2 linked regions of the Canis lupus familiaris genome follow. The protein of the gene in region 2 interacts with the protein of the main gene of each other region in a biochemical or structural test. Links are inferred from orthologs where the notes say so. Each region holds a gene or a part of one and is shown on either strand. Other genes may lie near its edges.

Region 1 (4,270 bases), on a different chromosome or scaffold from region 2:
AGGTATTAAGACAACATCATGGAATTATGAAAGGCACTCACCCACTAAAAGTTTTAATTTAAGAAAAAATACAAGGTTTTAAAGTTTAGAACAAGGTATTAAAAGTAAATGGACTTGTATTCAGTAATTAAACTAAGAATTTCTTTCCTTCTTTCTTCTATTTTCCACTAATTACTTTTTGATGGTAACAAACTTCATTAAAGACAAAAAAAAAAAAAAAACCTGCTGAAGTCACATTATTAAAAATCTGCCTGCTGGTTGCCCTTGTGACCTCCTCTAATAAAATACCCATCACCTCCTCTCACTAGTGCTCTTCCAAAGGTTTTTCCAAACTCCTATGTTACTAGTCTAGAATACAAATACAGTAGACCTGATACTGGCATATACTCGGTGGCAAAAAAGTATAATTTCTGGGTTTGATTCTGTTAACGTCATTAATTTAATGGATGTTTGGCACGGTATTTACTGAAGAATTACTATCACTGCCATTTATTAACCATTCTTCCTTCTTCCCCCTTGAAAAATCCTCCTCACTCCCTAGTGCTTCTCTAAATCTGTTAATAATTCTCTTAGGATTCTCTTTTCTATAAAATTTTCCTGAAACCAACTAGCCAACCACAATCCTTCACCCTCCTTTGAAATCTTGTTGCTCCTATCCATCCTGTAAATTTGGAACAAACTAGATCTACTGGTATTTGACATATATAACGGTTTTCTATACTCCATTATAAACTCCTTGAGGGTAAGGATTGTATTCCTAAATCCCAGCACTATTACGATGCCGTACATGGTAATGACATAACACCACCTAGAGTCCTCTTATGTTTTCTTTTACATGCACTTAAATCTCACAACTACCCTGATACGAATAATGACTCCTATTATCCTATTTTACAAAAGGGGAAACAAATTCAGAGGCTAATGTGTCATGGCTCTGTCCAACTAATCGTAAAGATCTACTTATGCTACTTGACATACTTAGCAAATATAAGAAACTCCCTGAACAGAGGAGGTTTACAAGTCTCCGTAAAGTGGTAGATCCATGTACTTTATTGTTGCCAGGAAAACCACCAGATTAGGTACCTCAAGTTCCATTCTCCCTAACTATGCAAAACCCACTTTGTCCTCGGAGCCCTTGATAAAGAAACTAAAAACTGCCGCCGTGGCCAAATGTGGCACCATGAGAACACCAGCCTCAACTTCTGCAAGAACATAAAATTTTAGTGAAATACCACGGCTTCTGTTTAGTGCAAAAGGGGACATTTCTGCTTCAAACCACTGTTATTACAAAACTTGGAAGTCAGAATGCATTTTGCAAGAGCCATGTGACACACACATGACAGTCAGCTAAACTGATGGGTGGACCTTTAGGGGAAATGTTTAGCAGTAAATGACCAAAGCTGCAAATACATTCACAGCTTTTAAAATACCAATTTTTTCCTTTAAAAAAAAAAAATTCCTCCCCCCCCCCCCAAGCCTTCTGACGCTGAAGGGGAATACCAATTAAATGTCTGCCAATTATTCGTTAATTTATATAGGTAAACCCAAGGAGGAATTTAAAGGGCCATGAAGGAGAACCCAACGAAGTCTTCCCAAGGAAGGTGAACACCAGTTCCCAGGAAAGGTGCCAGGTGTGTCACATATGCTGCGGGGACTTCTTGAGTGAGCAAGAAAAAGAAATGCATTAACTTTTCATGACACGTCATGGAACCTCACTCCCTATCTTCGAGTATTCAAGCAGGTAATCCAAAACCTACGGATTACATAGAGAGCCCCTTCGTTCTCTCTTTCAATTTGACAGCAGTCTTCCTTTAATCTGATAGTATCAGAAAAAAGAAAAGAAAAAAACGTTCCTACGTCTTAGTTCTCTTTATTCTTTTCCTCGACCTTACACAAGACCAAATGACTTCAGTGCCCTCTAAAAAAAAGAAAAAAAGGAAATCTCACAAATGCTTAGGTTTTTAGGGAGGCAATGGGCCCCGTCGTGACTTCTCGGAAAAAAAACAAAAACAAAAAAAACTCCAGGAAATAACCTAAACCCCCCCTCCACTAAAAATTTAAAATCTGTTCTCCCCTTCTACTCATTTCCCCGCTCCATCCCACGCAGTCCTGAAAAGCATCCGTGTTACCTGCAACCTGGCCGGGGAGGGGTGAAAGGACGGAGCCAACGAGCTCAAGATTTGCAAGTGGGGCTGGCTTCCCACCGCGACGGTTCTGACAGCTCGGCGGGCGCGGGCGCCGGCCCCGACAGGGCCCTCTAGGGCAGCCCTCCCACCCTAAAAACAAGTCTTCCTTCCAAAGTCACTGCCTGGGCGTGAAGCTACCCCTTCCCACCGCCCCACCCCCCCCTCCGAAGACTGTTCCTCCGCCCTGGCCCGGCATTCAAGGCCTCCAACCTGCCCGGGCGCCCCCCCGTCGGCCCCCCCGGCCCCCCTGACGCCCCCCCCCCCCGGGCCGATCCCTCTTCCGTCAGACAATGGGCCCCGGCTCCCGGCATCTCCGGCCCTACCACCGTCCGCCCGCCCTGGCCGAGGCCCCCGCCTCTGCCTCAGCCCTCCTCGCCTCCCCCCCTTAGGCTTTTCCGGGCTGCCCCACGGCCCCAGCCGACCGGTGCTCTCCTGCACTCACTATTCGGGATTCATGCTGGACATGTCACTGCAGCCGCCGCCGCCGCCACCGCCGCCCTTGCTGCCGCAGCCGCCGCCCCGACTCTCGACGCCACGGGTAATCGAGGGACGGGAACGAGAACGGGCTGTTCCGGGAGAGCAAACGTCTTCCCCTGCTCCGTCCCCTTAGAACACAATCAGCAGCCGCCGCCACTCAGCGATCGCTTCCACCCAAAATGGCCGCCGGCGAACCAGGAAATAGGAAAGCCTTAGACCGAGGGGTCTTTACACGGCCCGGAGGGCGGCCGCACCGCGCGGCACGCCGGGAAAGAGAGTTCCAACGCGGCGGCGGGCGCCGAAGGCCTACGGGGCGGCGCGGCCGCCGCGACTCAGCTTCCCGCCAAGCCCCGCGCCTCCGGCGCAGGCGCACTCGAGCGCTTGTCGCCCGCCCCATGCCCCACTCGCTCACCGCCCCCCCCCGTCTTGCCCCTCCCTGCTCCCCGCCCCGCTGACTCGCTGGCTTAGGACTTCGCTCGGACTCCCCCTAGCGGATTGGCTAAGCCCGAGCGGCCCCGGTGATGTCATCAGTGAGACGTGGCAGCAGGGCGCGTCGGCGCCCCAAGGGGGGAGGGGGAGGGGAGGGACGGAGGGCGGCGCCGGCCGCGGACAGAGGATGGGGCGGGGGCGGGGGCTGCGGGCGCTGCGGGGGGGGGGGGGGGGTGCAGCGGCGACCGCGGGGCGCTGGAGGGCGGGGCCGCGGGGGAAATGCGGGCTGCAGGTCGCGCCTGGCCAGTGCTTTGCTGAGAGCTCGAGCTCCCAGCTGGTCCCAGGACGGAGGAGGAATTGAGGGGCCCCTACTGGGAACCTCGGGGGTCCGGAGAGCGCGGAGCTCGGTGGTGTTCCCCAGCCGGCCGGCCCCGCTGGGTCAGGTCCCCGTGCAGGGCCACGGTCCCGCGCTGGCCGCACACGGTGCCGTCTCCTTGGTCGCATTGCCCCCCGGCTCCCCGTGCAGCCCGGCTCCGACCACCCGGCCCGGCGACGACGGGAGCCTCGGCCTCCTCTCTGCCCCCGCCGCTGGCCGACGCAGCCGGATTATCTCCCCGAAACCGCGCTGCATCCCGAGCCCACCACCGTTTTGCGGGGGCCGCGCCTCTCCGTGGCCGCGGTGCAGCCCAGAGTCGGCCCGAAATTCAGGGTCTTCCCGCCCTGGTCCCAGGCTTCAAGCCGAACTGTAATTTTAGCTACTCAAGGCGGAGCTGCTCTGCAAGACTGAAGAATGATAAGCGAGGGGAAGGTGCAACTAACGCATCGCTGCACGGTGCCTAGAGACTCCGGGAACGGCATTCACAACATTTCTGAGACCCGATTGATAGTCGTAACTCTTCTTTTAATCAGCTCAGGAATTTAAACCTCCAGTAAACTTTAACACATTATCTTGGGTTGTCTAACTGCAGAGGGCATAGTGTAATAGGTTGTCCAAAGTTTATCTTCCAACTTGCGCTAAGAACCAAGAAAATTGCCTCCTCTGCAAGCGGTTGCAAAAGCACTTTAAATTCTCATGACACCAAAATATGGAAAGAAGGGAGCGATGATTCCCCGCTTTACTAAACGATGTGCTCCTTAACCCCCAAATTCTACCCTGCGCCTTAGCTGACAACCTCATC
Region 2 (4,054 bases):
TATATATATATATATATATTTTTTTTTTTTTTTTTTTCTCTTGACCTGAATTAGTTGTTGGAAGTTCTTTTCTTTTAGGTGCCAGCACAAGGCTCTGCAGGAATTTTCTGAAGTATTAAACCAGAACTAACCTTACCCTTAGATTTCCTTTGGGACAAACTTTCCAAGAATGAGCTCTTCAATGACTAGATGAACTGTCCAACACTTTTTGTAATACAGAAGACTGGTGGTGTCACTGCCCTGCTGCTTGTAAGGGTCAAGTAGGGGAACTGAACTGCACAATGTGTTGTAAACACTACACCTTCACAAATAAAGGATCATGCAAAGCTAATCTTTTAACACTTGGCACTTGCATAAGTTGCTATTGCTACCACCATGTCTGTACATTTGTATTATATACAAAAGACCCACATAATTTATTCTGTGTGTTTAACTATTCAGACATGGTAGCAACTGTAATAATTACAAAAATAACTAAACTATTCCTTAGATATTATTGTTTTTATAGACTAATAAATCTGAAGATCATTAGCAGACATGTATTACCTCCCAGTACGCACAGTTGCTAATTTGGAACCCACACTTATATACTCAATACTAAAATAGAGCTAACCTTGTCCAATAATCAATCAATCAGTTGCTGATAAGTTAACAAGATCCCGTGACTGAATGTCTCAAATAGAAGTAAAGACAACATCTGCATAGCATTCATCATATAACCAATTCTTATTAATCACATAGGAAATGGTTCTTTAAATGAAAATATTCTGATGTCAGGATGAAGGCCCAAAAGAGCATTTCCAGCTTGCTCCTTTCTAGTTTTGAAGGTGGTTCTCTGGGCTTTCTGGGTTTTTATTTTCCTCAGAGGAGTCTGGTTTGGCCATGATTATATTATTGGTTCCAAGAGCCTCAGGTTGCTTATCATCACCATCAAAGATTATATCTTCTGGATTTGGAGGTGGGGGGCAGAAGTCTTCATTGGGAAAGATCTCCTGGAAAAGTGTTTCAGCTTGCTTGACTGCGTGCTCATTTCCCAGTCCGCAGTCAGGCCCAGAGCAGACATAAACATTGGAAGGTAAGCCATTGTATGAGCTTCTGCTGATTCCCGAGGAATCTCTCATATTAAAATAAAGAGCCCACAAGAGTCTTGGCTTTGTGAGTTCTTCCTTGTCTATTTCTGTTTCAGTATATGGGGTGAATAATTTCTTCACTACTGACTCTAAGTCTTCTCTTGCTGTTTTAGAAGATGAACAGGTCAGATGTACCAGATAGGTGTCTTTCATGCATGTCATGGTTGAAGAACATAATTCAGTGACACGAACAGCACATGTTCCTGATTCCATTGGAGGCACTATCAAAATGGAAATTTGCTGATCTGAATCTGCCTTCTTGAGTATAGACTGATCTGTAATGAGCACTGCCCTGGAGATCTGCTTATATTGCACATTTGAGCATGTTTCCTCAGAAAGGTAACTATCCTCCACAATAAAATATTTAGCATTTATTCTTTGATCTAAGTGATCTATAATTGCTTTACATCTTCCAGATTCTTTGTCAACTATAAGGCATTGAACTTTATGGCGAAGACAATAGATTCCACCAAAAACTGCACACATCCTGCAGAAACACTGGGGAATTTCTCCTTGGCCATACAAGGGAAATAAAAAGGGAGTGTTGCCAAACCGTCCAAGACACCGAAGGAAGTTTTTAGTTGCTTTAAGGCCATCTATTGTGGTGCAAGAGGACTCTGTCATTGCAATTGAGTGCAGCACAAAATGTTGGAGGTTGGGGGTTAATTTTTTAGTTTTTAAGTAATCTGAAAATGAGCAATGCACAAAAGCTTGGTATTGATCAGGATGTTGTTCATAGTCTAAACAAAATGTAAGAAATTTCATCAGTATCCTCTTTTCAACCATAGTGAGTTCTTTGCTATTAAAGACATCTGCTCTGGAACAAGGCACCTGTTCTACTTTTCCCTCGCGAAATGCAAGAATCCTAGTGACGTTTTTAAATTCTGCATAACGACTAACATTTGATTTGATTAAAAGATCGATTAGCAATCCTTGAGAATACAGCAGCTTTGATACCAAATCAATATTAAATCTCCTGCCTTCTTTAACTATTTGAGAGTAAGTAATCCTATTTCTCTTTGGTTGATCAGTGTTATCTTCCTCTATAGGTTTGTTTTCATCTTTATCTCCACCTGAAGCTGTGTTTATACAGGTTTTATCTCCACAACATTTTTCTTCTGCCAAGATGTCCTCTACATCAGTTACTTCCAGTGAAATCTCTTCATCACTTTTTGGAGTGTCTTTGGCATGCGTTTCAGAGCTAGTAACATGTAATGAGTTTGTTTCTTCGGACAAGCACACAGAATCCAGAGGTTTAGATGTTACTGCGGAAGGATTTTTCTGCAGAGCACTGATCTCTTCAATATTGTCATCCATATCCTGACTGGCATAACAGAAAACTTCTATGTGTTCAATGGTTTCATCCTTCTTGCGAAGAGCAATGGCTTCTTCTGTTTCATGCACCAGGCCTTGCCATGAAGCAGTGCTTTCTTCTGCATTGTCACCGTTTTGCTGATGCTCCTTTAACCAGGAGAGCAATCCCGAAAAGCTGAAACTTGCCCAGTTTCCTCCATAGTAACTTCTTGAATCAAGATGAAGAACTCTCTGACCACTTCTTGAACATGCAGCTGCCAGGATGGATTCAGGTAGACCTGTCCCTATTATGACCACATCGAACTCTGTGGGAAGACTGTCCGCCATTCTGGGAGATAAAGGGTCTGGTGACAACCGTCGATAAAAGAAATGTATGTGAGTCAAGGCTGAGGGCTCAGCGGAGGTGTGAATATGCTGTAATAAAATCTCTCCTTGTGATACTCCAGTTCATCCCAGAAGTCCTGAGGTTGCAGGTCCTAACTGTTTAACAGTTACCCTTTCTTAATATTGTTTTCCTTATAAGTCAGTAGCATAAAAATAGGTAAGGTATATCTAATCACATCTGAGAACACTAAAACGGATGTGTGGTTTTCATTCCTGCATTTCATCTTAGCAGTAAATGTCAAAATGCATCACACATGCATTTGTGACTGGAACTCTTCTCTGAAAGAAGAAAATTCAAGAAAGAATACAGTTGTAAACAATATTAAGAGAAAAATAATTTCATGCAACAGCAATTACAATTACTCCATTGGAGTCTGACTTGTTATCAAGACATAAGCCTCTAGGAAAGCAAGTCATTAAATGCTTTCTTACATATTTTCTAATTTCTCAAAAATGGACAAAAGAGATTTACCCCCAAAAACACGCAATAATGAGGAAGGGACATCATGATGTCCCATTAAGCAAAGGATTTCCATAATATAATTCTGTAACTTTTGCTTTTAATAAAATATTTGAACAAACTATACAGAACTGTGAGCTTAGACTGTAAGAAATGTGTGGTTCCGCCGTGTTTATGGAAACAGACTACATACTATGTGCACATTGTCATGATGAGGAATATTTCTGCAGCCAATTTAGCCTGTGGGTGATTTTAGAACAGTTGAATGAAAGATATTTCCATGCCACAACCACCCTTAGGATCTCGTGGTAGCATCATGAGACCATTTCAACTGAATTAACCAGCCAGATTATTGCAAAAGGATTAATTCATTAAAACAACTGGCATTTCGAGATATTTAGGTGCAAACAGGTCTACTGAAGGAAAATAGGCATTTTTAACAAATCTTCATATGAATGTACATATGCACATGTATTTTTTTTAGGTTTAAGTTAAAACAGAAAATTCCTACCTTTGTAAATTAAAATATCTTAACATAAAAAATACCTACTTCTAAAATCCAAGAGAAAAAAAAAATCCAAGAGAACATAGGGTGACTTGCATTTTGCCAGACTCTGGCTCTATGACCTTGAATCTCTGTATCCCAAGATAAAGGCCTGTCTCAACATCCTCTGCTAAGATTAACACGTTCTTTGCTGTTTTTTGAAGGGATAGGAGGTAGCAGTGTAGAAAGGCTCTCCTGTTAACTTCTGGCATAATACTGGTC

Evidence for each region.
Region 1: the proteins of CHML (region 2) and RAB1A form a complex in vitro, tested with the Homo sapiens proteins (2 studies listed by BioGRID). The link is inferred for Canis lupus familiaris from reciprocal best matches to the Homo sapiens genes CHML and RAB1A.

What each region holds. Positions count from the first base shown.
Region 1 is NC_049231.1:65,878,057-65,882,326, forward strand, and holds the start of RAB1A (ras-related protein Rab-1A), read right to left. Parts: upstream 2,801-4,270; 5' UTR 2,652-2,800; coding exon 2,629-2,651; intron 1-2,628. UniProt on the Homo sapiens protein: The small GTPases Rab are key regulators of intracellular membrane trafficking, from the formation of transport vesicles to their fusion with membranes.
Region 2 is NC_049228.1:32,967,093-32,971,146, forward strand, and holds CHML (rab proteins geranylgeranyltransferase component A 2), read right to left. Parts: upstream 2,801-4,054; 5' UTR 2,772-2,800; coding exon 816-2,771; 3' UTR 33-815; downstream 1-32. UniProt on the Homo sapiens protein: Substrate-binding subunit (component A) of the Rab geranylgeranyltransferase (GGTase) complex. Binds unprenylated Rab proteins and presents the substrate peptide to the catalytic component B.